5 linked regions of the Sus scrofa genome follow. The protein of the gene in region 5 interacts with the protein of the main gene of each other region in a pairwise test. Links are inferred from orthologs where the notes say so. Each region holds a gene or a part of one and is shown on either strand. Other genes may lie near its edges. The genes, in order: BNIP3L, SYCE1, IFFO1, FAM161A and LMNA.

What was found.
Region 1: the proteins of LMNA (region 5) and BNIP3L interact in a two-hybrid assay, tested with the Homo sapiens proteins (2 studies listed by BioGRID and IntAct). The link is inferred for Sus scrofa from reciprocal best matches to the Homo sapiens genes LMNA and BNIP3L.
Region 2: the proteins of LMNA (region 5) and SYCE1 interact in binary tests that used the Homo sapiens proteins (3 or more experiments, as listed by UniProt). The link is inferred for Sus scrofa from reciprocal best matches to the Homo sapiens genes LMNA and SYCE1.
Region 3: the proteins of LMNA (region 5) and IFFO1 interact in binary tests that used the Homo sapiens proteins (3 or more experiments, as listed by UniProt). The link is inferred for Sus scrofa from reciprocal best matches to the Homo sapiens genes LMNA and IFFO1.
Region 4: the proteins of LMNA (region 5) and FAM161A interact in binary tests that used the Homo sapiens proteins (3 or more experiments, as listed by UniProt). The link is inferred for Sus scrofa from reciprocal best matches to the Homo sapiens genes LMNA and FAM161A.

The regions. Positions count from the first base shown.
Region 1 is NC_010456.5:10,316,325-10,322,971, forward strand, and holds the start of BNIP3L (BCL2/adenovirus E1B 19 kDa protein-interacting protein 3-like), read left to right. Parts: upstream 1-2,363; 5' UTR 2,364-2,469; coding exon 2,470-2,566; intron 2,567-6,647.
Region 2 is NC_010456.5:141,726,872-141,732,988, forward strand, and holds the end of SYCE1 (synaptonemal complex central element protein 1), read right to left. Parts: intron 5,305-6,117; coding exon 5,242-5,304; intron 4,614-5,241; coding exon 4,554-4,613; intron 4,214-4,553; coding exon 4,139-4,213; intron 3,500-4,138; coding exon 3,452-3,499; intron 3,221-3,451; coding exon 3,166-3,220; intron 2,474-3,165; coding exon 2,384-2,473; intron 2,136-2,383; coding exon 2,072-2,135; intron 1,340-2,071; coding exon 1,273-1,339; intron 1,188-1,272; coding exon 1,064-1,187; intron 992-1,063; coding exon 881-991; intron 749-880; coding exon 571-748; 3' UTR 530-570; downstream 1-529. UniProt on the Homo sapiens protein: Major component of the transverse central element of synaptonemal complexes (SCS), formed between homologous chromosomes during meiotic prophase. Requires SYCP1 in order to be incorporated into the central element.
Region 3 is NC_010447.5:64,126,520-64,131,455, forward strand, and holds the end of IFFO1 (intermediate filament family orphan 1), read left to right. Parts: intron 1-243; coding exon 244-374; intron 375-1,569; coding exon 1,570-1,675; 3' UTR 1,676-3,313; downstream 3,314-4,936. Other genes in the region: GAPDH (glyceraldehyde-3-phosphate dehydrogenase), read right to left, coding at 3,364-3,433, 3,551-3,648, 3,733-3,816, 3,900-3,978, 4,066-4,217, 4,427-4,508, 4,592-4,707, 4,834-4,924. UniProt on the Homo sapiens protein: Nuclear matrix protein involved in the immobilization of broken DNA ends and the suppression of chromosome translocation during DNA double-strand breaks (DSBs).
Region 4 is NC_010445.4:79,961,437-79,967,553, reverse strand, and holds part of FAM161A (protein FAM161A), read right to left. Parts: exon of another isoform or gene 6,104-6,117; intron 5,135-6,103; coding exon 4,908-5,134; intron 3,335-4,907; exon of another isoform or gene 3,253-3,334; intron 1,817-3,252; coding exon 650-1,816; intron 315-649; coding exon 147-314; intron 1-146. UniProt on the Homo sapiens protein: Involved in ciliogenesis.
Region 5 is NC_010446.5:93,900,690-93,906,806, reverse strand, and holds part of LMNA (prelamin-A/C), read left to right. Parts: coding exon 1-55; intron 56-2,271; coding exon 2,272-2,397; intron 2,398-2,665; coding exon 2,666-2,836; intron 2,837-3,037; coding exon 3,038-3,163; intron 3,164-3,692; coding exon 3,693-3,913; intron 3,914-4,006; coding exon 4,007-4,229; intron 4,230-4,665; coding exon 4,666-4,773; intron 4,774-4,880; coding exon 4,881-5,000; intron 5,001-5,438; coding exon 5,439-5,528; intron 5,529-6,117.

The sequences.
Region 1 (6,647 bases), on a different chromosome or scaffold from region 5:
GGCTTTAAGAATAATACAGTTTGGAAGAAGGAATTAGAGGGAGTTCCCATTGTGGCACAGTGGAAACAAACCCAACTAGTGTCCATGAGGATGCAGGTTCAATCTGTGGCCTTGCTCAGTGGGTTAGGGATCCAACGTTGCCGTGAACTGTGGTGTAGGTCGCAAATGTGGCTCGGATCCCAAGTTGTTCTAGCTGTGGCATTGGCCAGGAGCTACAGTTCCAATTCAACCCCTAGCCTGAGAACTTCCATATGCTGTGGGTTTGGCCCTAAAATGCAAAAAAAAAAAAAAAAGAGAGAGAGAGAGAGAGAAAGAGAGAGAGAAGGAATTAGATTATAAAAAGTCAATAAAACAGATATAAACCATTACCTAACATAATCCTGAGAAAAGAGAGGACATATAACACAATATAAGGAATAAAGGTAACATCCTACAGAAACAGAGCTAACCCCTCCCCCTAGAAAAAGCACTAGGTCTGGATGTTTCCTTAAGAGAAAAAAAAGTAATTTCAATTTTATCTATTTAAACCATAGAAAATGAAACTTTCTCATTAAAAAAAAATGAGTATAAAAAGATGAAGAAATGTTTACGACCTTTTTGAAGCACACCCTTTTTCTCTTTAGGGCTGCACTCAAAGCATATGGAGGTTCCCAGGCTAGGGGTCCAATCTGAGCTGTAGCCACTGACCTACACTACAGCTCACAGCAACTCTGGATCCATAACCCACTGAGTGAGAGCCAGGGATGGAACCTGCATCCTCATGGATGTTATTTGGGTTCTGTTAACTGCTGAGCCATGACGGGAACTCCTTGAAGAACATCTTTTTAAAAAATTCATGAACCCATCTACAAAACAGAAACAGAGTCACAGACTAGAGAACAGCCTTGTGGTCGCCAAGGTGAGGGAGGGGGAAGGAGAAGGATGAACTGGGAGTTTGGGGTTAGTAGATGCAAACTATTACCCTTGGAATGGAAAAGCAATGAGGTCCTACTGTTACAGCACAGGGAACTATATCCAATCTCCTGGGACAGACTATGATGGAAAAGAACATAAAAAAGAATGTACTTATATGTACAACCGAGTCACTTTTCTGACAGCAGAAACTGGCACAACGTTGTAAATCAACTATACTTTAATACAAACATTTTAAAAAACTTAGGATAGAATAAGGAGGGATATCAGCCTGAATGGTATACAACTTTGTAAATATGTCGATTATCTCCCCAAAGTTCATCTGAAGAGTAATTAGTCATGAAAAAATTTTTAAAGACAAAAAAGGAGGTCCTTTCTCTAATATTTATCTGATAGAGCTACTGTAGAGAAACCTGAAATGGACTCATTTAGAATTTGATAGAGGTGCCATTTTGGTGTGAAAAGGATGACTCAAAAATTAATATTGTTGGGTCAATTGGGAACAACTGAAGTTAAGCAATTCACAACACATAAAAATAAATTTCAGATGGATTAAGGGTATAAATACAAAAATTAAACCTATAAGAAAATTATAAAAATATATAGGGACTGGATTCAGTATCTTGCTGTGAGGGTGTTCCCAAGGCATATGAAAATAATAGATGTGATTGCCTGAAAATTTTAACTTCTGAGGAATGAAACAGGGTTAAAGGACAAGCGATAGGCTGAGATAAATGCCACACATAAATGAGACCAAGGAAACGACAAGTCATGGAGATACGAAGCAGGGCGAGTGTTCTGGAACATAGTTTACTGTCACTCACGTATAAGAAACATGGCTTCCCATGTTATGTCCTAGAAATTGTTAAGTGATGGAATGTGGATGATTGTTTTCTTCTCTATGTTTTCCTGAACTTTTCCATCTTTTTAAAACAAAGATTGCGTGGGGTCTGTAATGAAAAATTTTTGCATTATTTAACAACTAGAAAGTCTGGCCTGCCTTTATTGTTCCCTGCCTGGAGTGTCAATGTTCCACCAGCTTTATTTTAGGTTTACGACGGGGAGGCACCAGGGCTTCTTTTGCTTTCTTTGTGTCAGCACAATACCTATTACTGACTGAGTCCTTACAGATATTAAAAAAGAAATGCTCACAGATTGGATAAAACAATGTTGATACTGTAGGTGTGGGAGATTTGGGCGCCAGCGCCTGAGCGCCTTGCACTTCCTCATGACACACTTGTGCCCATCCTCTATCCTGGTTCCAGCCGCATACCTCACTCCATCCGGCCAATACAAATGACATGCAAGAATTCATTCCTGGCGCGGGCGTCACCGTGACTCGCGCGTCTCCAAGTCCGTGGCTCTCCTGGGCACGCCTGCGCCCCGCCCCGTCGCCAGTTGTGTTGTCATCACGTGGCTGGGGCGGGCCCTGACGTCAGGGGCGGGGGAGGGACTGCGCAGGCGCAGAAAAGGGGGCGGGGGACTCGGCTTGTTGTGTTGCTGCCGGAGAACCAGAGACGGTACTGCTGCGGTCGCAGCTCTTCCAGCCGCCTGACAATGTCTCACTTAGTAGAGCAGCCGCCTCCTCTGCACAACAACAACAACAACTGTGAGGAAGGTGAACAGTCTCTGCCCCCGCCAGCCGGCCTCAACAGTAAGTGCTGGCCCGGCGGGCTCGGTAAAGGGGATGGGGGAGGAGGAGCTGCTCGGGCCGCCGCCGCCAGCTCCGCGCTGGGGGCGGGAAAAGAAGGCAGCCCATTGGTCGAGGTCGAGGATGTGCGGGTGATTGACAGCTCCCATCACCCGTCAGGAGGAGTTGCTCTTATCTTCCTCCTGACCTCTCTCTTTTCCCTTCTGAGTTCTTGGGTGATGGGCTGTTGGGTTCGCCTTTGGGAAGGGTAGGTGGGTGGGAAGATCAGGGGGTCGAGCCGATCGCACCTGTGGTGAGCCCCTGAGTGCAGCCAATCGGGGCGTGGAGGGGCGGGCCTTGGGGCGCGGGGAGGGAGGGTGGGCGGAGCGGGCCGCCTAGGGGACGTGGGCAGGGATGGGGACGTGCGACGGGGACGCCGGGGGATGGACGCAGGCGCCGGTTTTAGGGGAGGGGGCGACCGAGGGACTGGCGGGTGGTCCAGTGTGCAGCGGAGCTTGGGCCAGGCCCGGTGACCACCCCTCACTGGGTCGGCCTTCCCTCCAGGGCTCGGAACGTGAGCCCTCTTGTTGCGTCCCTTTGTTAGCACAGACTGGTTAGGAAAATTATTTGGTAATTTAGTGGTTACTTGTATCACGTGAGGGGGGGTGAGGAAGCTATGATACTTTTTTTTTGAGAGGTTTCAGAGTTGCTCAAGTAATTTTTTTTTTTTTAAACGATGAGGTTATTTGCCCTGTAAACCTGATTATGAACAGCTCTTGAACCATCCAAGATCGCACAAATCACAGTGACTGGGGCAATGAATTTCGTACACCGGGGCAGTTGAAAGTTAAGGGCAGTATCGAATTACGACCAACTACAGTTGCTTTTCCTAACATCCTGGTGCTTAGACATCACGTCCTAAGGTTATTTCCAGTTGTCTTTAAAGCTGGCTGCAAGTCTTGGAAAGGTTCTTGCCTAACCTTCCTGTAATTCATCTCCTGGAAGAGGTGGTTGGGACAGTTAGCATATGGCCAGATGAAGTCGTTTAAAAATCATTTGGATGCTTAAATGACATTCAAAGGCACTTAAGTATCTTTCATCCTAGGGAGGTGTTTCAGCATGGCCTAAAAATTTTAGGGAAGCGAGTTCCTGTCCTCACAAGATGGGGATAGAATTTGAGTATTTTCAAGATGTTTTCATTCCTTATTGCTGCTGCTCCTTCTGATGGATAATTCCTTAAATGTTGACTTTTAAAAACTTTTTGAAGTGTTCTAGAACGTAAGGTTTATATATTAATTCCTACAGTAAATTAGGGTTAATGTTTGTGTCTTTAAACATTACTTGCTTCAAATATGAATATGCATTTTAACATTACTTACCAGTTTTTAGCCTCCTCTTTTAGAAGGATGTGGTTTTAGGATGAGAAGAAACTTTAGAGGTAACTGTCTACTCTTATTTACTGGTAGAGAAAGAGGCCTAGAGTAAAGTGTGTTGTCCATGTTCACAGCAGGTTATGTCCTAAAGTGGAGGTTTTACTTTCACCCCGTCTGGCATTCCTTTCAGGACACATCTTTTCAGGGGCCCACTATCCCCTGATTATGTGTGTTTCTTATTCTCTGTTACCCTACCTGTTATTTAGAGGTAGCCTGCTGATCTGTCTCTTTTTAGTACACTGTTTCCTAATTGTATTCCAGTTTTCCTATGATACAAGTTGGTTATTTGGTTAATATGTATACACAATTTCACAGAAAGTGAAGGGATTTTTATTTTCTTTTGATCATGTGACAGGAAAATGGGGATGAGCTATATGGGATGGTTTTTCTCCATGTCCTGACAGACCTATGTTTGATGTCCTTGGCCAATCAGTTGCTGCTCCATTTGTATTCAGTCTTACAGAAGTGGAAGAACACTCAGCCTGTGTGTGCTATCAAAATGTTGCACATTTTGGGAAGTCTGCTACATAGAAAGTATTTTATTTAAGCTAGGGTGAGCTGCTTTTCAATGTTACTGAAAAGCTTTTAGATAGTGCCATATTTCATTACTTTCCTCATGCCTTTTACTGTTTTTTTAGCTCATTATACAACACTAGACTGAACAAAAACAAGCCTTATTGATTCCTTCAAGTGATTTTGGGCACTGAGCAGAACAACTTATTCAGGCATCTAATACTATCCAAATTGCTGATAAGTTGAAGTTCTTTGTTGGGTAAAGTTGCACAACTCTGAAAAAAAACAGGAGATGAACTCATTGTACAGATTATCTCTGGCTTGGGATTTTATCTTTAGTGCAGGGGTCAAAGCAGAGTTTTAATAGCAAGTTATTGAAATATTTGGAATAATGAAAGCTTTCTTTGATTTTTTTAAAAAGTTTATCCTTGTAAGGGAACTGTTCACTTTCATTACAAATTAGTGGACAAATATCTGAACTACTTCCAAAATTAAAAGGACATTTTTCAGTTGATAGTTTTATTCTAGAGAAAACTATCAGGTCACTTACAAATATTTGTATTGGGAATTTATGTCATAAAATTCAGTAAGTAATATAAGGAAAATTATGGTAATAATTTGTGCATGTTGGAATTACAGCCCTTTTTTATCTTTTTAAGCATCTACTGTGTTGCACTTGCTTCCCCAGGATGGCAAGAAGGCTTTCAAGGCCATGACACATGAAATTTCAATGCCTTATGATATTGTTTTGAACACCTAAGTGGTGTATAAGCAGGTACTTGTGCAAGAAGGTCAACCTTTTTTGAGAAGAGTATTAGTGACTGTTCTCATTCCAGATTCCAGCATCAGGTACTTGAGATGAAATAAAGGTTTTGAGGAAAGAAGATAAGACGTAATGACATGTTTCACTCCCTAGTTAGGATGAGTTACATGTGGGACCTTGAAAACTTGGGGAGAGAGTGAGAAATACTTTTTCCTTTTCTCCCTTCCCCCCACTCCCCTTCATGCAAGAGGATTGAACTGGTGATTATAAAATTATAAAGCATGAATATGGCATACGGTTGTGAATGTAATCACCGTTACTGGACCAGCCTTCGTGATGAACCACAGGTGTGTTACAGAATGTAGGCACGTGCTCTGAATCCTCTTAGCAACTCTCAGTCTTAACCAGAAAATATCTCATGTTTTGTGTCTATATGCAACCTGGCCTAAGAGAATTGTTTTTAGTTTGTAAATAGTCTTTTGATATAATCGAGTTTCTGGTTTTTAATTTTAAAGCATGATTATTAGGAAGAAAATTCACTCTGCGATTTTTCTCTACTCTGCATTGCTTGGACAGCACAGTCCTCATATTTTGCCGTCTTTCCTTTCCAAAGAAAAACGGACTTTGGAGGATTGGTAGAATTAGAACATCAAGAAATTCTGAGGCTATAAATCAGGAATGAAGTAAGTGATGAGAAAAAGGCATGTGGAGTTCATCTATTGAGAAAGACCAGTTTGCTTTTTTCCCCATTTACTCAAAAGATAAAGCTCATTGTAAACTCTTAATGGATATCTGTGTACTGACTTTCTCTGCAGCACTGTATATTTCTATAGGTGAAATTTCTGGAAGAGAATTAAGAGTTAAAGGAAATCTGCCTTCCTAAGGCTTTTAATGGATATTGCCAGATTACCCTCCAGAATGTTCACGGAAGTCCTAGTTGTAATAACAAAATATTAGAAACAATCATTTGAGTAATGATTAACCATTACCATTTGGATAATGGTTAAAGTATGGTATATCTTTATGATGGGATGCAGTGCAGTTCAAAAGAATGAAGTAAGGCGATACATATTGACATTGAAAGACAAGTTGTTAGGTAAGAAACTGTTTACAGATAAATGTGTGCTGTACAAGTCTTTTTTTTTTTGGTAAAAACAAAAGCAAAACACAGAATACTATTTCATTGAATGTATCCTCTGAAAGTCTGCATATGAAGCTTAAAACCAGTTTCCTTTCAGAGTAGGAATGAGAGGTTGGGAGGAGAGGTCTTAGTTTTCACTTCATGTGCTGATATTTACATGTTCAGTGTACACATTAATTTTGTAATAAGAAAAATTTGGAAAAGGTACTGAGTATCATTTGAGTAACTAACACTTAGCACTTTTCATATTCTAGG
Region 2 (6,117 bases), on a different chromosome or scaffold from region 5:
ACTGTGGGCATGGAACTGACAGGCTGAGGTTCTGGTTTACATAACCCCTGGGCCTATTGTGAGAAGGTCTCAGTCCTGCATCCCTGTGCCTGGGGGTCCTTGATCATGTCAAGTCCTAGAGATGAGCAGACCCAGAGACTGTAAGCTTAGGGAAGCATTTATTGAGTGCTTGCTGTGGGACTCTGGCTGAGGCCAAGAGGCAGAATGTGGCCCAGAGGTCTTGGGACAGACAATCCCCCACCTAGCACAGACTCAGCTGAGGCAGTTGTACTGAAGTGGTGCCTTTATTTCCTGAAGCCCAGGGTATAAGCGCCAGTGTATGGTGGGTCCTTCTTGCCTAGGAAGACATTAGGCCCTGCTTGATGGGCAGCTCTGGGTCTTTCTCCTCACTGACTCCAAGGGTCTTAGGATTAGCCTGTGGGAGGTCAAGGTCTGAGGTTGAAATCCCCTCACATTCCTTTGCTCACACCCTCCCTGGGATCTGCCCCACCTCACCCCACCACTGCCAGCCTCTGCACCTTTGTCTTGACTGTGTCCCTGTAAGAATGCCTTTCCCTGAAGACCATCTTCTCAGGATTCTGCAGACCCCCTCCTTGCCTTCCCACCCCCAGCTCCTTTCATGAGCTGTCTCTGCTCCCTGCACCCGATTCCAGGGCTCACAGCTTCTCCTGGGCTAGCTCCTTCCTCTTGCTTTCTCTGGCTTTGAGCAGGGACCTGCACCCCAAGCTTTTCCAGCTCTTCTTTCAGCCTGAGGTAGGGTAGGAGATTGGGGAAGGAGAAGGGTAGGATTGTGAAGAGACCAAGAGACAGAGTCTGAGAGGGAGGAGACTCCCTCAGCTACCTTCCCAGTGAGGATTGCAAGGAGGGGCCCTGTGCCCACCTCTGCTTCTTCTGCTGTAGCTGCTGGCACTTTTGTTGTAGCTGCTCCTGGCGCTGGGCAGCAGCCCCCAGGAGCTCCTGGGCCTTCCTGTTCTCCTCTTCAAACAGATGCCTGAAGATGGGGCCATCAGTGCTAGCAGCTCCCTTTCTCTACCCCATCCCACCCTCTCCATCTCTGCCTTACACCACAGCTGCTGCCTCCTGGCTGCGGAGGAAGAGCCCCTCAGTGATGGTTGAGCAGCCCTTGGCTCCAAACTGGGAACACAGACGATGCTTCACATCCTCCAGCTTTGCCTCCACCAACTTCTCTGTAGCAGGAAGGAACAGATGGGCAGGGTAGGGCAGGGCAGGGCAGCGCAGAGTTGATCTGGGCATCCCTTCTCCAGGCCTCACCTTCCTTGAGCAACTGTTCCTTGTTGCTGTCCAGGGCATCAATTTCCAGGGCCAGTTGCTCTGGCTTCTGAGGGGTAGAAAGATGGCCTGTCCACATCTCCCATGTGCTGCAGTGAAGCTGACCAAGATCTGGTCTTCCTTACTTCCTACTACTTTGGCCCTCCATGTATGCCAGGCACAGTCCAGCTTCAGGGCCTTTGCACTGGCCATTCCCTCTGCCTAGAGCTTTCACTCCAGATACCTAGGGTGCTGTGCTATGCTGGAGAGGCTCATGAGGTCATGAGTATTCAGGAATTAAACAAGGTTTGAAATCGGCCCTAGAATGAGTATTTACTACAGGAGATCCTGCAAACAGTACAAATCAAGGTTTTTCTTTTGAGAGTAAGTTACCACCCAGTAATGCAGCTCCTCCTCTTACCATCATGTGACCTCACTGAGCTCTTCCATCTGGACAGTCATTTTCTCTGCCTATTTTCTTGTTTGGGATCCCCAGATGCCTGCCCTGTGTCTGTGATGGCCCCAAATACATATATGGATCTCATTTTTGGGTGAGCCCTCCTTGGTTCATCGGGGTTCCTCATGACCACTTAAGGATACTTGGAGAGCATCAGGGATGGGTGGGCAGGTCTGGTGAAGAGGTCAGCAGCAGGTGGCAATGAGGGTGCTGCACAGCTGCCAGGGTTTGTACGGAACTAGGTGTGGAAGTACAGAGGAAGGAGGCCTGGAGAATTCCATTGGTTTGGGGCCTGGTGCTGCCGGGGGAGATGCGGAAGGTTGAAGGAGTGGCTGAGTGACTCACATGGAATTCCCAGAGGTCCTTATGCTGGCCCATCAGATCCTCCAGCTGTTCTTCAAAATCCAACCTGGAGATCAAGCACATAGGATGAGGGGCCGTGGGCTGAGAGACACCCCTCCCCAACCTTGCACAGCTAGGGCCTTCATGCACAGACCAGGGGGAGCTCACCCATGCTCTTCATGCTGCTGGGAACACCTTCTCCACTTTGACCCTCCAAGCTTCAGCTCGGCCAGCTACTCTTCTAACCTCCATTGCTGGTATAACTCCCACTGACAACCCAGCCCAGCCCATCAGGCTTCAGGTGATGGGCTTTACCTCAGCTTCCTCTGTTTGTTCTTTTCTTCCTCGATCTGGGAATTCAGGGCAGAAATTCGCTCCTTGCATTCCTGCAGCATGGTTTGCTTCCTGGCAAGAGTCAGCGCAGCCCTTCATCATGTTCTCTGAATGTCTCCCTACATTCAGGGGTTGGGGTAGGGCTTCTGCATCCTTCTCTTGAGGTCTGTTCTAGCCTTCTAGATTGAGGTCCATCTCTGTAACTTTGTAGGGGGACATGAGCACATGCCCCCAGGAAATGTCATTGTGAAGATTAGAGAGATCAGTGTGGGTCTGGTCAAATGCACAATCACACAGGTTAACCTCATGTGAATTTCTCTAACAGTTTCAATCTTGGTATGCTAGGGGCTTGGGGCTTCTGGTCACAAGATGAGCAAAATAAGCATTGAGGAGGTAGAGATCAATGCACAAATAGTTGGGTGGATGGAAGGATAATGGATGGAGAGATGGCTGGCTTGATGCCTTAAATGAAGGGACAGATAAGCGAACAAACAGCTGCTGTGGAAAGTATCAAAGGTACAGAATAAAAACCAGCTGAAGGAATTTAACATTCTAGCAAATGAGTGCTTATTCCAGGTGGGTGAGTGAGAGGGTATTCTTAACACTACTGCCCGCTGTTGCAGCCAAGATGGAAAGACCCTTATTTGGCCTCTCCATTTTACAGAGGGAGAAGATGAGAGCTGTGGGTCTAAAACTGATTTCACTTACTTTCTCTACCAGAATGAAGGGGTAGCTTGGAGCAGGGCCCAGGTAGAGGCTCTTACCTCTGTGCCTCACTTTCCTTCTCCTGGCAGTGGAGCCGGAGGATCCTCAGGGTCTCTGCAGAGAGAGGAAGTGAGGGGGCCATGAGAGCTCATCAAGGCATGAGGTTTGGGCAGAGGTAAAAGGGCCAGGTCATGTGGACACCGTATGGGACTGTCATTTACTGTGGTGGAATCCACAGGAGGGGTGCAAGGTGATTCAGGTTTCAAAAGGCTTCTATCACTATAGAGAGTAGGCTTATACAGGTTGGAAAAGGCAAAAACATGAAGACAGAACAGCTATAATTACCTTGCTTTTTGCTCAAGATCTCTTTCAGGCGTACTTTCTCTCCACTCACTGGAAAAAGTAACATGTTCAGGCATCAGGGACCATTCACTGCACCCCTGGGGACCAGGCCTGCGCACGGTCACATGGGCAGTTTCATACAGGCTTACCCCTGACCCCAAATGTGGACCCCCAAGGTGACCCTCTCCTCTCTTGTGCTGACACTCGCTATAAGCACTAGAGTCCTGAAGGTGATAAAGGGTGTCTGTGATGACTTTGTGGGATGCCAGTGTGTTTACATGAAAGGGAGAGAAAAAATAAGAAACACATCACATGAAGTGGGACAAGGACTGTGAAGAAATAACATCAAGCAGTAAGTGGCACGTGCCCAGGCAGGGACAGGGTGCTGTTTTTAGGTAACTGGGGAAGGCCTCTCTGAGCATACTTGAGCTGAGAGCTGAGGATGATGTGAGGCAACAGGAAGTGGTGGTATCTGGGGGGACTGTCTAGCCAAGGCCCTGAGGTAGAGGCATGCTTACAGAGTTTTTCAGGAACCTTCCCACCAACACAGTGGGAGGAGCAGGGATTAGAAGGATCTGAGGTTGAAGGGCAGGAGCCCTTGGTCACAGCCAAGAACGCAGACATCTGGAATACTGTGTTCAAAGCTGCATGACATTGTGTGGACCTCTGGGTGACCGGTGACAAGCTTACATGAGTCAAGTTCCTTTTGCAGGGTCTCCCAGACAGTCCGGGCCTCTCCCAGCTCTTCACTGGCTTTCTTTTTTGCTGTGCCAAAGAGTAAAACATTATTTAAGTGTCTTTTCCTTGCAAATATTTCACATTTGTCTTCAAGTAAACCTAAAGGGGCTCAGGCTTTACAGAGCAGGAAATGGGGCTTCCAGGAGCCTAAGCCCTTCCTGTTAGGTTCAGGTGGCAGCAGGGCCAGGTTAATAAACATGACTATAGCAGTTAGTATTTAGATGGACCAACCCATGCCTCATTTAATGCTCTGCTCTTTCAAAACACTTTGTATATTTTGAACTAGGGGCACCGCATTTTCACTTTACACTGAGTCCTGCAAATCACATAACTTATCCTGGTTGACAAGGCAAGGTCCTGAGCTCACCTTGCTGAACCTCATTAATCCGGTTAATCAGGACCTCAACCTTGGGCTCTAGGCTTCCCGCTGCAGGGAGAAAAGGAGGTTGAGTGACTATGACAGGACAGACAGAGGGAGGTGGATGCCCCTCCAAGGGCTTACATCTTGGGTAGGGGAGACAGGAACAGAGAGAGACAAAGTCAGATTGTGGTAACTGCGGTCAAGAGAAATAGGTAATGGATTAAAAAGTAAAGGAGCAGGACACGCTTCTTCAGATATGGCAAGACCTCTTGAGAGCCCCAAATCAAGTAGGGTGGGGTAGGCCTTGAAGTTCGCTGGGTGGGTGTGAGACAGTGCAAAGGCCTGCCTTGAGGTAGGAACATGGCTGGGAGGTGTCTGGTAAGGAAGCACAGAGGAGCAGATGTGAGGTGGAGGGAAGGGAGGTAAAGGTGAAAAACTGTTTTCAGCAAATCGCAGTGGGAGCCAAATGGATGGTGAGTAAGGGGAGTGTTAGGACAATGTTTTGCATTTTATTGCATTACACTTTAACTTTGAATCATGGGTCATATTTTTAACTCAGAAAATTAAGGTTTAAAAGTAAGAGAAAGCAAATGACTTCATTTCCCAAGTTTGTGAATATGGGGGCTTAGAATTGATTCTACTTCTGCCTGAACCCAAACCTCAGGCTGAGCCTTAGTTACAGAGGAGACGTGACCTTTCTGCAACTTCTTCACCATTTCCATCAAGTCTTCTATTTTTTGTGAGGACTTGGCCTGCCCTGTGGAGACAAAAACCAAACATTTAAGAATCATATAGGTGTGAGAAGCCTGAGGGAAGATCTGACAACCTTGGGCTGGAACTGAGGTGGGTTGAGGGCAGGTTTCCAGCCAAAGTGGTGCTTCTGCTCCTTGACCTTAAGTGGACACTGCACAAGGGATGAATCGGGTCATGGTCAGCTTTTCCTTAAGGATGAAATGACACCACAGATTTCCACTTACTAAAACTCAGGGCAAGGGAAGGAGTGCATGCTTACTACAGATACTGTTCAAGGCTTGGTCAAAGCGCAGGATGTAATAATGAAAGAAAAAAAGGTATTAAAATATTAAAAACTGGAAACAAGGAGTCAGAAGTCACTGTAAACAGCAGATGGCATAATCGTCTATAAAGTTCAAGAGAATATCACCAAAACAAAACAAAACAAATCCCCACAAAAAGACCAAAATACCTCACAAGGAATAGTGAGGAAATTTAATAAGATGTCTCATTTAAATGTATATGAATACAAAACGCTTTCCTACATACAATCATTACTCTGGAGCCTCCTAGAAAACCATTTTGTACTGACTTGCTTATACTCAAATAGGCATTTATTTTTAACTCCCTAATGAACTGGTAGATCTAGGCAATTATTATTAACATCAAAATAAAGATAGACATTATGAGCTATTTGATGTAAAAATACAACATAGGATTCTTGTCAAAAATGACACTAAAACATGTTAAGCCTCTCTATCTAAATAACAATTTGAAGGAAACACAAGGACAGAGGATCATTTTAAATGGCTCCTGTGGATGCAATTAGCAACATCCA
Region 3 (4,936 bases), on a different chromosome or scaffold from region 5:
AGTCTGTTCCAAGGTGCCAGGCCTGGCTCAGATCCCTTAGCGAAAGCCCCTGCGGGCAGAGGTGCCTGGGGAAACGAGGAGCAGTGGTGAAGCGGTGCCTCCTGCCCTGAGCTGGTTTGGTTTTAAATCTGAGCCCTACCCCACGGCTGCCTGCACCCCTGCCCTGGGTGCCCTCGGCAGGTCAGCCTCCTGGGGGCGGGGGCTCTACTGACCCGGCGGCCCTGCCCCCAAACCCCACCACAGCTGGAGTTGGCCACGGCCAAGAACGACATGAACCGGCACCTGCACGAGTACATGGAGATGTGCAGCATGAAGCGGGGCCTGGACGTGCAGATGGAGACCTGCCGCCGGCTTATCACCCAGTCTGGGGACCGGTAAGCACACCCCCCCCCGCCCCGAGTGTGGGCCCCTCTCGGACGACGAGCCCTGAGACCCTCCAGCAGTGACTTAGGCACTTGTCACGAGGCTGCCCTTTGAAGGTTGCCTCGTTTGTCTGGCCCAGGCTGGCAGCTTTTACTCCCTCAGCAGTTGGATACTTAGGTCCACTCACGGCTGCGCAGCCCAAACCTCCCGATGCCGCCAAGGCTGGTGGTTCCCCCACTCAGAAAGGCAGTTCTCGCTGTGGCATGGTGGGTTAAGGACCTGGCATTGCCACAGCTGTGGCGTAGGTCACAGCTACGGCTCAGATTCGATCCCTGGCCCCAGAAACGTTCATGTGCTTCCGGTGCCACCCGCTGCCCCTGCACCCCTTAAGGGCAGCTAAGAAGTCCCCCGGTGGCTCGGTGGGTTAAAGATACGGTGTTGTCACTGCTGTGGCTCTGGTTACAGCTGTGGTGCAAGTTTGATCCCTGGCCCGGGAACTTCTGCATGCCATGAGTGCCACTGAAAAAAATAAGAAAAGCAGCTAAATTCTGACAAAGAGTGCAAGGGGGTGGGGGCAAAATTTTATCTAAAGTTAGAGCCACAATTTGTGCCTTTGACTCTGTGTAAGCTTTGAAAAAAATCGTAAAACTAGGAGTTCCTGCTGTGGTGCAGTGGGTTAGGAACCTGACTGCGGCGGCTCAGGGGGCTGCAGAGGTATGGGTTTGATCCCTGGCGGCACAGAGGGGTAAACGATCTGGTGTTGGCACAGGTGTGGCATGGTTCAGTCCCTGGCCTGGGAACTCCCATATGCTGCACTTGCAGCCATGAAATTAAAAATAAATAAATAAATAAATCACAAACCCGCTATAGATAAGCATGGAGTGGGGGCCACAGAGCCAGGGCACTCAGCCGGCCCCTCTTAACTGTGACTTCACATCTTTCTGAACTCAGCCTCTATTCAGCCTCTCCTGGTCCCCAAGTTAAAAGTGGGAACTGTTCCCCCCATCGGGGTGGAGTGGGCAAGGTTTCCTCTTCCCTCCCTGCCGGCCTTGCCCTGCATCCGCATCCGCCCTTGTCCTGTAGTCCTCCTGCCCCGCCTAAGATGTTATTCACCTGCCTGCCAGGAATAAGGCCAAGGGTGCAGGATGCCAGCTTGTCAGGATTCTTGCATGCCTGGAGGAGGTTACAACTGGTGTTTTTTTCTAGAAAGTCTCCTGCTTTCACTGCGGTCCCGCTTAGCGACCCGCCGCCACCGCCAAGCGAGGCTGAGGACTCCGATCGCGATGTCTCATCTGACAGCTCCATGAGATAGGGACCTCGCGCAGCGGGGCCCTGCTGGGACTCACCGAGCCTGGCCCCTGGGACCGGGCGCTCCCCCGGCTTCCTCCCCTGGTCCTCGGCCTCTCTAGGGTCCTGGGGTGCCTGGAGTGAGGCTCAGCCCGCCCTTCCCGGGCGACTCCCTGCACAGCCGGCTGTCCTCCTTCATGCGTGGGTGTCCGCTACTTTCCCATCTTTAAAATGCTGCCAGAGTGCTCGCGACCCTCACCCCGTCCTCTGAGTAAGGAGTGTGATTGTCGGCTCTTCCTTCCACCCCGGTGGTCTTGAGCCAGCGGACCGTCCTGATTCTGTTCTGGTGCTCACTGGCCCAGGTGCTGGTACGGCCTGAGCAGCGGGAGAGGGCGTCCCTCTGTGTCGCAGGGGCAGGGAACAGGACTGGGCGGCTCTCTGCCCATGGACAGTGGAGTGACGCGGCCATGACCCTTCCCTCGTGGAAGTGCCACGCGTCTAGGCGGCCTCTGGGGCCGATGGGGTGCAGTAGCATGAGGGGACAGGAGCTCCTGCAGTCTCCCAGTCACTGCCGAGGGACGGAGAAAGGTGCACGTGAGCGTGTGTGGGCGCATGTGTGCTCCTGTGCTCAGGGGTCTGTTTCTTCAAGCATCAGCCGAAGATGCGCCTCCTCCTCCTCCTCCTCCTCGTCTGACACACGCCGAGTGAGAAGGTGGCCCAGACTCAGAAAAGCTTGGAGAAAAATGGGGAGACGTGACTGAGGGTACCTCGGCCTTGCTGGCTGAGGCAGGCTGTGCTGAACTGACGTTTGAGTGGAATCTAATCCTAATGAAACTGGCGAGTATTTATTGAACGCTTTGGTGTCACTGTTTCCAGCAACTTTTCGGTGGTGGCTCTGGTCCCTGTTGTGTGGTGTGCACTGGTGATCATTGCACAGACACACAGGGTTACAAGCAACTTGCCCAAAGTAATGGCACCTCAAGTAGCAGAACCAGGGCCTCCATCCAGGTTGTCAGTGCTGTCTCTGCTTCTTCCCACTAAGCCTGTGCGCATTCGCAGGTGACAGAAGACATGGAAATAAAACCACCCCAACCTTTCCCTTGGGCTAACCTACTGTAACTTCTCTGAACAATCTCTGAGCTGGCACTGGCACAGCTGTACCACAGATGGCAATCTCTTGGGCACTGAGGCTCACAGCTGTGACAGGGCAGAGCTGGAATCCACTCCTGGCAGTCAGGCCGTAGCCAAATGGACTTCCTGTGCCAGTGCCCCCCTCCAGGGAGCTGCAGACAGAATGGTGTCTTGGGTGCAAGCAGCCAGGCCATTCCTGGGTTCAGCCACGGCAGTCTGGAGCTGTAGCACCCAGAGGCCTCACTAAGGCAACACGAGGACAGGTGGCTCTTCAGAGGAGCCCAGGGTGGAGTTTCCTCAGCAAGCTCTAGTTCTCCTTGGCCCCAGCCCGGCTTCCCTCCTCTTTATCCCAGGCTCTAGAGTGAGAACGACAGGAGGCTGGGTACAGTGTACTTTATTGATGGTACATGACGAGGCAGGTCTCCCTAAGCCCCTCCCCTTCTTCCGGGGGTCTGGGATGGAAACTGGAAGTCAGGAGATGCTCGGTGTGTTGGGGGATCGAGTTGGGGCTGTGACTCCCCAGCAGCTGAGGGCCTCTCTCCTCCTCGCGTGCTCTTGCTGGGGTTGGTGGTCCAGGGGCTCTTACTCCTTGGAGGCCATGTGGACCATGAGGTCCACCACCCTGTTGCTGTAGCCAAATTCATTGTCGTACCTGAAAGGAGAGCAAGAGTTAAGTGTGGTTTTCCCGAGCAGCCACCAGGGGGCACCAGACTTGATCACATTCTGAAGCATCATCCCTCCCCACCCGCCACATCCCCCAGCACCCTACCAGGAAATGAGCTTGACGAAGTGGTCGTTGAGGGCAATGCCAGCCCCAGCATCAAAAGTGGAAGAGTGAGTGTCACTGTTGAAGTCACAGGACACAACCTGGGGAAGGAAGAGGGCCAATTACGGAACCCAGTCTTGGTCAGTGGGGTCGTGTGGACACCAAGTTCCCTGACCTATCAGTACCTGGTCCTCAGTGTAGCCCAGGATGCCCTTGAGGGGGCCCTCGGACGCCTGCTTCACCACCTTCTTGATGTCATCATATTTTGCCTGATGAGGTAAAAACCGATGGTTATTCAAGTACCAATCCTACAACCCCTCAGCCCCCCAAAGCTGTTCCAACCCAAACCTACAGGTTTCTCCAGGCGGCAGGTCAGATCCACAACCGACACGTTGGGGGTGGGGACACGGAAGGCCATGCCAGTGAGCTTCCTGGGGACACGAGGAAGCAAGCAGAGTCAGCACCACCCCTGCTGGTGCCCCAGACACCCAGGGCAGGAGAGCAGCAAAGAGCCTCACCCGTTGAGCTCAGGGATGACCTTGCCCACAGCCTTGGCAGCGCCGGTAGAAGCAGGGATGATGTTCTGGGCAGCCCCTCGGCCATCACGCCACAGCTTCCCAGACGGGCCATCCACAGTCTTCTGGGTGGCAGTGATGGCATGGACCGTGGTCTGGAGACAAGGAGGGGGAGTGAAGGCCCTGCCTAGCGCTTGTGACGCCTCCTCTGGGAAGAACTAAGGGACACAGTGCTTGGAACCACCCCACCCTACCCCTCCTCTGATGTCCTGAGCCCCTACAGCTCCGGGCTGAGCTCTGGGAGGGGAAGGATCCAGTCCTGGGTGAGGACAGAACGTGCTCTGGCTCAGTCCCCATCACCTACCATGAGTCCCTCCACGATGCCGAAGTGGTCATGGATGACCTTGGCCAGGGGTGCCAAGCAGTTGGTGGTGCAGGAGGCATTGCTGAAACGAGGGAGGCAAGTCAACGGGCAGGTCCACGGGGTCCCGCGCAGCATGACCCCCCCCGCCCCCTCCACCAAGCTCACCTGACGATCTTGAGGGAGTTGTCATACTTCTCATGGTTCACGCCCATCACAAACATGGGGGCATCGGCAGAAGGGGCAGAGATGATGACCCTCTTGGCCCCACCCTTCAAGTGAGCCTGCAGCAGAGGAGCAGTCAGACACCCGGGCTTCCCCTTTCCTGGTCCAAGTCAGCCTCCCCCAGTCTCCCCGCTACACCAACCCCGCGGTTAGGTCCCCTCCTCTTTCGGTTCCCTGCCGCTCACCCCGGCCTTCTCCATGGTCGTGAAGACACCAGTGGACTCCACAACATACGTAGCACCAGCATCACCCCATTTGATGTTGGCGGGATCTCGCCTAGAAGGGAAG
Region 4 (6,117 bases), on a different chromosome or scaffold from region 5:
GTAAGTTAACTCTAAGTAACTGATGGTAACTTGGATCCAGAAACTGAAATACTAACACTATGCTTAATCTGTTCACATATTGGGTCCACTGATTAAAAAAAGTTTGAAAACCAATGATCTGGAGGGTCAGGACTCTCTCGTGATACCTGAGAGATTTTACTCTGGATTTAGACATCTGAGCTAGACTTTGATGTGAGTCATAAGCCTTAGCCCGGGTTGTCAGAAGTTTCTGCAATTCTTTCATTCTTTGCTTCTGCTTAGTTAGGATCCGATTTCTCTCTTCTTCCAACATTTTCTTTTCCTCAAGTGATCTCCTGAGGGCAACAAACTAAGGCTTAATTCACTTTAAGCCAATGAGAATGTTGTTTAGCAAAGATTTAACACAGGATAATTCAAAGGTTGAAAAAAAGGGGCAACCTTTTGAGAAGGATCTGACTTGTAAAATTAGAAATCAATAGGCTGACTATAACCATTTCTATTCCCAAAGATTCATAAAATGGAAAATATATCACTTCTTAGAAGAACACCCTTTGGCAAATGTTCTATATTACACAGTAAAGTATGTTACCAGATATAATAACTTCACATTTTCGAATTCCACGTACAAAAGCAATAGCAACCATGAATCAGTACCGCATCGCTTATTTACCTTGTGGCTTGCTCTCTTCCCCTAGAGGACACTGTGGGCATTGGAGGGTTGTAGCTACAAGATGCAGGCTTTGCATTCATACTTCTTACTGGTGATTTGTGCCTTGGAGAAAGATAAGGCCAACGTGTTTCTTTTAAATTTTCTTCATCTGCTTCAATGTCTGCCAGAATTTTCTCTCTTTTAGTGGAGGCATGTGAGGCTGTATGAAGGTCAGACGGTTCACAGACTGTTAGGAGTTTGGGACATTTCTGTTCCGAGTGGTATTTCTGATATCCCTCAGGAAGGTCTTCAGAGTCAGCAGTCTGGCACCTAACTTTGTGTTTATACTTTGACCTTTCAGCCTGTTCAGGACACCTGGGCTTCCTTGCAGCAAAACTTCTGCGAGCTGGACTGCAAGGCAGAGGGGATGAATTTTGTAATAACTCTTGGGCTCTCCGCTGTGTCCTAATGTTTCTATAAAACTCATCTTCTGTTAACTTGTCTTTGACAGTTGAACCATAAGTAGATAGAGGGACAGGTCTGGCTTTGAATCGATTTGTTTTCTTTTTAGACTTAAAAAAGTCTTTTAGCTGCTTTTCACGAATTGCTTGCTTCTGTTCCTCTCTTGCCATAAACTTAAACGGCCTTTGTGAGGCCAAAAGAGCTTCTTTGTATTTCTCCCTCATAGACCTCCTCCGTTCCTCATTTTGCTTGACTACATCATGATAAAGGGGAAGAAAAACGAATGCAGGAACTGGATTGGCTCGGAATTTTTTCTTACACTCTAATTCTTCTTCTTGTTTTTTAAGCAGTTTATGTACCATTTCAACATCTGACTTAGATTTCATGTTCTCTTCCTTTTTCTTCTGCTCTCTAATCATCATTTGAAAAGGCTCAGGTATTGTGATCTTTGGAACCCATTCTTTTGGTTTCTTTTTTATTTTTTCAAGTGCTGGCAAGTCAGCATCTTCAAACTGAATATAATCTTCAACAGAGAAGTTGGTCCACATGTTGTTGATGAGCTCCTTGGCATAGGTCATCATTCTGCTTTTCTCAGAATACTCCTTTTCTAAGTTGGGTGACTCATCTTCAGAGGAATATACAACCAAGGAGGAAGACTCACCTAAATCAGGCTCTGAAACCGATGTCATTAACGAGACAGGACAATAGCTCTTTTCTGATACAGACCTAAGTAAGTGAAAGGAGTAATTAGGTTACTCTTTCAGTTGCATGTGACTAAATATAAAAATTAAGAATTACATAGTTCCGGAGTTCCCGTCGTGGCGCAGTGGTTAACGAATCCGACTAGGAACCATGAGGTTGCGGGTTCGGTCCCTGCTCTTGCTCAGTGGGTTAACGATCCGGCGTTGCCGTGACCTGTGGTGTAGGTTGCAGACTCGGCTCGGATCCCGCGTTGCTGTGGCTCTGGCGTAGGCCGGTGGCTACAGCTCCGATTCGACCCCTAGCCTGGGAACCTCCATATGCCGCGGGAGCGGCCCAAGAAATAGCAACAACAACAACAACAACAACAACAACAACAACAAAAAGACAAAAAGACCAAAAAAAAAAAAAAGAATTACATAGTTCCAGAGTTCCCGTCATGGCTCAGTGGTTAGCGAATCCGACTAGGAACCATGAGATGGCAGGTTCAATCCCTGGCCTTGCTCAGTGGGTTATGGATCTGGCGTTGCTGTGAGCTATGGTGTAGTTTGAAAACGAGGCTTGGATCCCGAGTTGCTGTGGCTGTGGAGTAGGCTGGCGGCCTCAGCTCCAATTAGACCCCTAGCCTGGGAACCTCCATGTGCCGTGGGAGCAGCCCTAGAAAAGGCAAAAAGACAAAAAAAAAAAAAAAGAATTACATAATTTCTGGGAGTTTCCACTGAAGCTCAGCAGAAACTAATCTATCATCCATGAGGACACAGGTTCAACCCCTGGTCTAGCTCCGTGGGTTAAGGATCCAGTGTTGCCAGGAGCTGTGGTGTAGTTCGCAGCTGTAGCTCCAATTTGACCACTACCCTGAAAATTTCCATATACCGCAGGTTCAGCTCTAAAAAAAAAAAAGAATAGATTTACATAATTTCTAAGATCAAGATAAAATCAGTTAGATGGAGTTCTCTTGTGGTGCAGCAAGATAAGGATCAGCTGCTGTCACTGCAGTGGCCTGGGTCACTGCTGTGGCGTGGGTTTGACCCCTGACCTGGGGACTTACACATGCCAAGGGTGCGGCCAAAAAAAAAAAAAAGTTAGAAAATAGGAGCTGGTTAGGGCTTGTGAAAATTATCGCTTTTTTTTTAGAAGAAAGACTGCGAGATGCTTATAAACAATCTTTTTTTTTTGGCTTTTTTTGCTATTTCTTTGGGCCGCTCTCGTGGCATATGGAGGTTCCCAGGCTAGGGGTCGAATCGGAGCTGTAGCCACTGGCCTACGCCAGAGCCATAGCAACGCGGGATCCGAGCCTCGTCTGCAACCTACACCACAGCTCACGGCAACGCCGGATCGTTAACCCACTGAGCAAGGGCAGGGACCGAACCCGCAACCTCATGGTTCCTAGTCGGATTCATTAACCACTGTGCCACGACGGGAACTCCCTTATAAACAATCTAATTGGACTTTGTCATTTACAGGGGAGGAAGCTGAGACGGCAGAGGTGCCTTGTATCCAACCGCTACTGAATTCTCCACACATCTTCCAGAGTCACTATCATAAAACACACATCTGACCACCTTATGCCCCTTCCAGAAACTTTTCTACAATTTGTTGTTACAAAGTCTAGATTATAAAGCCCTTGAGGACTAGCCCTTGTCTACCTTTCTAGTTTCACATCTTGCCTCTCCCTCCCCTGTCGCCACTCTTAAGTCAGATCTAATCATGGGAAGTTCCTCACACAGTTTTCTGTGGCACCAGTGCTTTTGCACACATGGCTCTGTTGCCTAGAATGCCATTCCTTGCTTCCTACATCTGCTTCAGCCATTTCCCCTTTAAGATTGAACACAGGACACTTCAAGTACCTGCATCCCTCCACTGACATCTTGACATAATCAACAGCTTCTTCCTCTGTCTCTAACACTCTGCTACACTGTGTTGTATTTCTGGATTTCAGCTAGTCTTGGACTTCCTTGAGGGCACTTTAATTTTGACTCCTCAGTGCCCAGGCACAGTCTGGCACATGGGAGATGCAAATTAGCACCAACCAAGTGGATGAGTTAAGGGACTTGCCTCGAGTTTCAAAAGAAGCAAGTTTACGGCAAAAATTACTATTTTTTGAAAACTTAAATCAAGATTTCTTTTTTCTCTCTCTGTCTTTTCTAGGGCTGCACCTGCAGCATATGGAGGTTCTTGGGCTAGAGGTCTAATTGGAGCTACAGCTGTTGGCCTACACCACAGCCAGAGCAACTCGGGATCCGAGCAGCATCTACAACCTACACCACAGCTCATGGCAATGCCAGATCCTTAACCCACTAATTGAGGCCATGGATTTGAACCCACAACCTATGGTTCCTAGTCAGATTCATTAACCACTAGGCCATGGTGGGAACTCCCAGATTTATTCCTTAGTCCTGAACAATTCATACTCTATCTTTAATAAGCTCATGTTAACTATAAAGAGCTTTTAAAATTAAATTTTAATACTCATCATTTGAAAATGGCCCAGACTAAATATTTCTGATAAAGTCTTAAAAGTGGTGGGTCAGAGAGGAAGGACCAAATGGCCACTAAATGACCCTCAAAGCAAGAAGCCACCTAGTAGGTCGATAGGCCAGCAAACAACCTGAATAAAATTCTACTTCTGTATATCACTAAAAACACAAAGGGATGGAGTTCCCTTGTGCTTCTGTGGCTTAAGGATCCAGCATTATCACAGCTGTGGCTTGGGTTGCTGCTGTGGCACAGGTTTAATCCCTGGCCTGGGAACTTCCACATGTCACGGTGTTGCCAAAAAAGAATTTAAAAAAATTTTTTTTAAAAGGGATATTTGCGGAGTTCCCATTGTGACACAATGGCATTGGTGGTGTTTTGGGAGTGCTGGGACACATGTTCGATACCCATCCTGGCACAGTGGGTTAAGGATCAAGCCATGCTGCAGATGCAGCTTAGGTCAAAACTGCAGCCTGGATCTGTCCCCTGGCCCAGGAACTACATATGCTGCTGAGAAGCCAAGAAAGGGGGAGTGGGGATGTGGGGAATATTTGTGAGAAAATATTCTGAAATAATTTTGTTCTGCACTTTTAGGTACACATTTTATTTTACATTCCACAAATAACATTATGTACAAACTTACTTAGAAGAGACACTAGCAGCTTCTTCCCTGGTGACCACTGGCTGAACTTCCTTTAAATTTAGTTTATTCTGGTACATTTTCTCTAACTTGGCCATAGTTTCCATGTGGGCAGCCTTCAGCTCTTCTAGTTTCCTGAAATACTCTTCATTAGAGTAGTAAATATCAGAAAAGTTCACAAAATCCTGTTTTTGTTCACTCACCCCAGAAACGTCGGTGTTAAAATCAGCCTGGTAGGAGGAAAAAAAATGTTATATGATGTCTGGAATTGAAAACCAAATTAAGCTGACACTGATTCCCAATGCTGCTTTTTTATTTTTATTTTTTTTTAGGGCTGCACCTGCAGCATATGAAAGTTCCCAGGCAAGGGGTCAAATCAGAGCTGTAGCTGCTGGCCTATGCCACAGTGACAGCAATGAAGGATCTGAGCTTTATCTGCAGCCTATACCATGGCTCAAGGCAACATCAGATCTTTAACCCAATGAGCAAGGCCAAGGATGGAACCCACATCCTCCTGGATACTAGTTGGGTTCGTTACCCACTGAGCCACAACAGGAACTCCCCCAAGGCTGTTTTAAATTTTAAAAGTCCCCTTAATCAGGTTATATGTTACATGTGGACTCTGTACATAATGGATTATAAGCTACTTGTAGCTAGATACATTTTCTCTTAATGACATTTTATTCAGAATGAGAGATACCAAGTTGCCCAAAAATAAATGCTATTTCATTTATTTTATAAAGGATGGTTAGATTCCCAGATCATGTACTAACCCATACACTGTGAAAGTATAAAACTAAATCTTTTTCTTTCTTTCTCTTTTTTTTTTTTTTTTTTTTTTTTTGGTCATTTTGCCTTTTCTAGGGCTGCTCCTGTGGCATATGGAGGTTCCCAGGATAGGCATCGAATCGGAGCTGTAGCCGCTGGCCTACGCCAGAGCCACAGCAACGCGGGATCCGAGCTGCTTCTGCAACCTACACCACAGCTCACGGCAATGCCAGATCCTTAACCCACTGAGCAAGGCCAGGGATCGAACCCGAAACCTCATGGTTCCTAGTTGGATTTGTTAACCACTGTGCCACGACGGGAACTCCTCTTTCTCTTTTCTTTCTTGACCACCCCAAGGCATATGGAAGTTCTGGGGCCAGGAATCAGATATAAGCCACCATTCCACGGCTGCAGTGAGACCAGATCCTTACCTCTCTGTGCCAAC
Region 5 (6,117 bases):
CGAGAAGCGCACGCTGGAAGGCGAGCTGCATGACCTGCGAGGACAAGTGGCCAAGGTGGGGCCCACCTGCCCCCTGTCCCCCTGCCCCCAAACAAATACACACTCTTCCACCCCAGGTGCTCTCAGGAGGTACCTGGTCTGATCTGTCACATGGCCTTGGAGCCATTCACGTGTCCTAGAATTGTTGTACCCATCCAGACCATATTGCACCTCCTTTGCTGCCCATGTCCAGCAGCGTGAATTTAGAAGGATCCGTAGGAATTCCCATCGTAGCTCAGTGGTTAACGGATCTGACTAGGAACCATGAGGTTGCGGGTTCAATCCCTGGCCCCGCTCAGTGGGTTAAGGATCCGGCATTGCCGTGAGCTGTGGTGTAAGTTGCAGACTTGGCTTGGGTCCTGTGTTGCTGTGGCTGTGGCGTAGGCCGGCAGCAGCAGCTCTGATTAGACCCCTAGTCTGGGAACCTCCATATGCCATGGGTGCGACCCTAAAAGACAAAAAGACAAAAAAAAAAAAAAAAGGAAAGAAAAAAAATCCATAAACCATTTCCATTTAACTTCGCAATGAATTGTGCCTGGCCCTGGATCCCTCCTGGTCTGGCCCTGCTGTAGAGAGCTGTGATCTCTTTGGAAGATGGGAGAAGAATATAGACCATCCACAGAGCCCTGGTTGTAGGAAGCTGATGGTTAATCACATATAGATGCATGTTCTTCTTCTTCTTTTTTTTTTTTTTTTTGCTTTTTAGGGTCACACTCGCAGCATATGGAAGTTCCCAGGCTACACCACAGCCACAGCAACGTGGGATCCAAGCCGCATCCGTGACCTACACCACAGCTCACGGCAATGCCAGATCCTTAACCCACTGAGCAAGGCCAGGGATTGAGCTCGAATCCTCATGGATACCAGTCGTGTTTGTTACCACTGAACCATGACGGGAACTCCTTTTATGTTTTTTAAGATTCATGTTCTTAGTGGTTGGCATGTATATCATGTGTATGCAATGGTCTTTACTTTCAAAACACTTTGCTATCTATCCTTTCTCTTACGTTACAAGCTAGGGAACAGAATCAAAGAAGCTGGCTTGTTCCCAATCTCACTGCCTCATCTGCCCAGAGCAGGGCCAGGACTAGAGTTAGTCCAAGGGTCAGGTCCTGGGCTCTCTACCCCGACGAAGGCCCTGCCACCACAGTAAACTGAGGAGTGACCAGGAAATGCCAGCAGGTTGACTACAAAACCAAGACTGGGCCATCTTTCTCCCAGGTCTCTGCCCTGCCCTGCAGCCCCTCCCAGCTGCACTGCCCAGCTCATGTTTGTTAAGATGAAGATCTAAGAAAAGTGCTCCCAGAATTCCCTTGTGGCACAGCAGGTTAAAGATCTGGTGTTGTCACTGCATCGGCTTGGGTCACTGCTGTGGTGTAGGTTTGATCCCTGGCCCAGGAACTTCCACATGCTGCAAGCGTGGCCAAACAAACAAAACAAAACAAACAAAATAAGAAAGGAGCTCCCCTGCTCAAACTTTAGAGGCTCTTTTTGTGGCAGATAAGGGCTCGCCTCTCCATGATCCAGCCCCTGCCTTCCAGCCCGGCCACCTCTGCCATCATGCTGCCCCTGCTCCGCCCTGTCACTCAGACTTCAGCAGTACTGAGGCTTCTGAAGATCCTGAAGTGCACGTGTGTGCCTTCATGCCTCAGTGCCTTTGCACTTGCTCCTGTCTGCCCCAGCAGTCACGGCGGTGTTCCTCTCCAGGCCCCGATAACCTTGTCCTTCAGATCTGAGCCTCTTACAGGCCTTCCCACCCCAGACACATACTTCCTTCCTGTTCCTTCTCTACTCTGAACATGCTTCCTTTATAGCAATTGCTAGGTTGTGCCAAACAGAGGAGGCAATTTTTTTTTTTTTTTTTTGTCTTAATGGCCATACAGAGACATATGGAAGTTCCCGGGCCAGGGATCAAGCCGAGCCACAGCTGCAATCTTCATCAGTTACAGCATTGCAGATCCTTACCTCCCTGCACTGCTGCACCACAGCAGGAACGCCAGTCTTTTTTTTTTTGTCTTTCTTAGCACTGTACCTACCCAGAGTCGTTCCTGCCAGGGAGTGGATCGCCTTGCCTCTGGGGGCACCCAAGGCTCTCACTCCCCTGGACCTGTTTGTGCACATAGAGAGGGATGTGTTGGATGCTCCCCATTCCTCAGCTTCCTTCCAGCTCCGATGTCCTGTGAGCCCTCTCCCTGACCTCTGGCTCCTTCCTCTCTGCCCCCTTCCTCTCAGCTCGAGGCAGCCCTGGGTGAGGCCAAGAAACAACTTCAGGATGAGATGCTGCGCCGAGTGGATGCCGAGAACAGGCTGCAGACCCTGAAGGAGGAGCTGGACTTCCAGAAGAACATTTACAGCGAGGTGGGGACTGTGCCCTGAGACCGGAGGACAGACGTCAGAGCTGGGGCTGGGACATTGGCTGTGTGCAGAGCTCCCCTGCCTGACTCCCTTGTACTAGTGGATGGGGAGTTGGGTCTGGGGGGACGGGGAGTGGCCAGCCCTCAGGTTAAAGGGGGGCTCACAGTGGCTCCATTCGCGGTTAGGATTGGGTCGGGAGCTCAGCCACCTGCCTGGGTCCCATCCTCAGAGGACTAGTTCTGATTTTGGTTTCTGGGTCCAACCCTTCCAGGAGCTTCGGGAGACCAAGCGCCGCCATGAGACGCGGCTGGTGGAGATTGATAATGGGAAGCAGCGCGAGTTTGAGAGCCGGCTGGCAGATGCCCTGCAGGAGCTGCGGGCCCAGCACGAGGACCAGGTGGAACAGTACAAGAAGGAGCTGGAGAAGACCTATTCTGCCAAGGTGCTCGCTCTCCTGTGGCTCCCTCGCTGCCTCTGACCCTGGCACCCCTCCCCCCACCTCTGCCACCCTGATACGTCCCTTGCGGGATCGGGTGGATGATAGCAGGAGCCCCGGGTGCCCAGGACCTGAGGCTGCAGCAGAGATGCCGTTCCCAGGTCCCTTCCGGCCCCTGCATCCCTAACCCCGCGTCTTCCCCTCCAGCTGGATAACGCCAGGCAGTCGGCCGAGAGGAACAGCAACCTGGTGGGGGCCGCCCACGAGGAGCTGCAGCAGTCCCGCATCCGCATCGACAGCCTCTCGGCCCAGCTCAGCCAGCTCCAGAAGCAGGTGATGCCCCCACCTCACCCCCTCCTCCAACAGTCTGGGCAGGACATGGGGTGGGGGTCCTGAGGGCAAGAGGGTGCAGGACAGGACATGCCTCCAGGACCCCAGGCTAAGTAAGAAGCCTAGGGTTTGGAGTCAGATGACCTGTTTGCTGTTCCAGGACTTTCTCTTATCTAAGCTGAAAGACCTTCCTTCTCAGAGCCTTGGTTTTCCCCTTTGAATATGCAGATCATTCGTATCGTCCCTAGAGATCTGCCTCAAGACTCAGTCGGAGGTGTCGAAAGCATCAATAGTCTAGCTGGCTGTGCCATTTGTGGCAGGAGGAAATAGATTCAAGCCTCAGATTAAGAGATTTCAGTTGGACTTTGAGAAGGACTGCCCGGTGGCCAGCCAGCCGAGGCCTCATCAAAGTCCATGAAAGGCTCTGATGAGAGCTGAGGATCCTGGCGAGGCAGCTGGGTGTCCCCTACCCCTTACCTCTCCCCATTTGGGGCCTCTGGGAGCTCACCAGACCCCTGCCTCCCTCTCCCAGCTGGCAGCCAAGGAGGCCAAGCTGCGGGACCTGGAGGACTCGCTGGCCCGTGAGCGTGACACCAGCCGGCGGCTGCTGGCCGACAAGGAGCGGGAGATGGCGGAGATGCGGGCAAGGATGCAGCAGCAGCTGGACGAGTACCAGGAGCTGCTGGACATCAAGCTGGCCCTGGACATGGAGATCCACGCCTACCGCAAGCTCCTGGAGGGCGAGGAGGAGAGGTAGGCTGCGGGGGAGTCCAGGAGGTGCTGGCAACCGCCTCCAGCCTGCCACTGGCCTTGATGAGGCTCCCCTCCCTGTCTCCCCCTCTGCAGGCTACGCCTGTCCCCCAGCCCGACCTCGCAGCGCAGCCGCGGCCGGGCCTCTTCCCACTCGTCCCAGACGCAGAGTGGGGGCAGCGTCACCAAAAAGCGCAAGCTGGAGTCCAGTGAGAGCCGCAGCAGCTTCTCCCAGCACGCTCGCACCAGCGGCCGTGTGGCCGTGGAGGAGGTGGACGAGGAGGGCAAGTTCGTGCGCCTGCGCAACAAGTCCAATGAGGTAGGCCCCCAGGTGGGGTCTGAGAACACAGCGGGCTTTGGGAGAAACCCCAAAAGTGAAGGGATGGCGTTTGAGGGCAGGGCCATCCCTCTCATCAGAGACAGACCAGCGCGTGTGCGTGTACCTCTCCTCCACACTCAGGCTCCAGTCCTGGCGCCGGGGCTCATCAGTGGCCCTGAGACCTTAGGCAAGCATCAGTTTCCTCATCTACAAAGAGTCCCGAACTCTTTGAGTTCTTGGGAAGATGAAAGCTCAGAGTGCGTCTAGCCCAGCATGCGTGCCCGTAGGTGGCCACTGTCATCCTTGAAGGGGAGAGCGGTGAGGGGCGGTGGATGAGAGGGAGAGACCTCTGCCTGAGGCCTGCCTGGGCCCTTGAGTGGGAGGATCCCAAGAGCCCGAATGAGCCTCCCCCGCCTTCGGCTTCCCTCCCTGGCAGGACCAGTCCATGGGCAACTGGCAGATCAAGCGCCAGAATGGAGATGATCCCTTGCTGACCTACCGCTTCCCTCCAAAGTTCACTCTGAAGGCCGGGCAGGTGGTGACGGTGAGTGGCAGGGTGTTTGGGACGCGGGGGTGGCTGTGGGTAGGGATGGGTTGGCCCAAGGATGGGAGTGCTAGAGTGAGAACCCTTCTCTAATTCTCCCTCACCAGATCTGGGCTGCGGGAGCGGGGGCCACCCACAGCCCCCCAGCCGACTTGGTGTGGAAGTCGCAGAACACCTGGGGCTGCGGAAACAGCCTGCGCACGGCTCTCATCAACTCCACTGGGGAAGTGAGTATGCTGGCCTCTCGCTGGCCAGGGCTCCCCGGATGAGACGGCCAAGGTTGGAGCCAGCTTGCCCCCAACTCAAGGGAGCCAATTCAGGGCCACTTGCCCCCAGCTCTCCTGTGCAGTCGCAGGCCCCAGACCCTCTCAGTGGGCAAACCCAAAGAAGCCTCCCCCAGCAGTAGGAGCGGGGAGGTTGGACAGGGAGGGTCCTTAAAGGCAGACCGTGCTCCTACCCAGAGGGCTTAGCAGTGGCCCTCTGGGGCACAAACAAGTTCCTCAGCTCCAGTGCCACAGAGGAAGGACAGAGTAAGCCACAGGTTGGACAAAGGGCAGACCACGAGGAGGTTCTTAGGGGGTCCCTGGGGTGGGGCTGCTGTGCAGCCCCCCTCCCTCAGGGCTCTGAGCCCCTAACCCCCGGGTGGGATCTTGTGTCCCCGGCAGGAGGTGGCCATGCGCAAGCTGGTGCGCTCGGTGACCATGATTGAGGACGACGAGGATGAGGATGGAGATGACCTGCTCCATCACCACCACGTGAGTGGCAGCCGCCGCTGAGGCCGAGCCTGAGCCCACCCTGGGGCACCCAGCCAGGCCTGGGGACCGCCTCTCCCCGGCCACCCCGTGCCAAAAATCTTTTCATTAAAGAATGTTTTGGAACTTCACTCGCTGCCCTGGCTTTTCTTCTCTCTCCTCCCTGTACCGTGAACGGGGAACCCAGGTGTCTGGGTGCCCTACTCTGGTAAGGAAGGGAGTGGGAACTTCCTGATGCCACGGAGTCTTCCCTTGGGAGCAGCGGGCAAGGCTCTGGATTTGTCTCCTGGGACGGGCACGGGAGGACAGATGTGGGGCTCCCAGCCCTGCCTCTCTCCCCCCGTTTTCTGTGGCGTGCACCTTTCTTCTTGTCCCCTCCCCATTCCTGTCCCATGCATGGCTTCTCACTTTCCCCCTTTTTCCTGGGAGACAGGTCTCTCTCACTGTCCCTCCTTCCCAGTTGATTTTGCATGCCTGCTGCTCTGCAAGCTTGCTCACGCTCACCTTACCCTCTTAACCTTAGAGTAGCTTAGGACAGAGTCAAAGCCACAACTCCCATTCCCTGCCCCTAAGTCTTACTGACCCTCCCCCT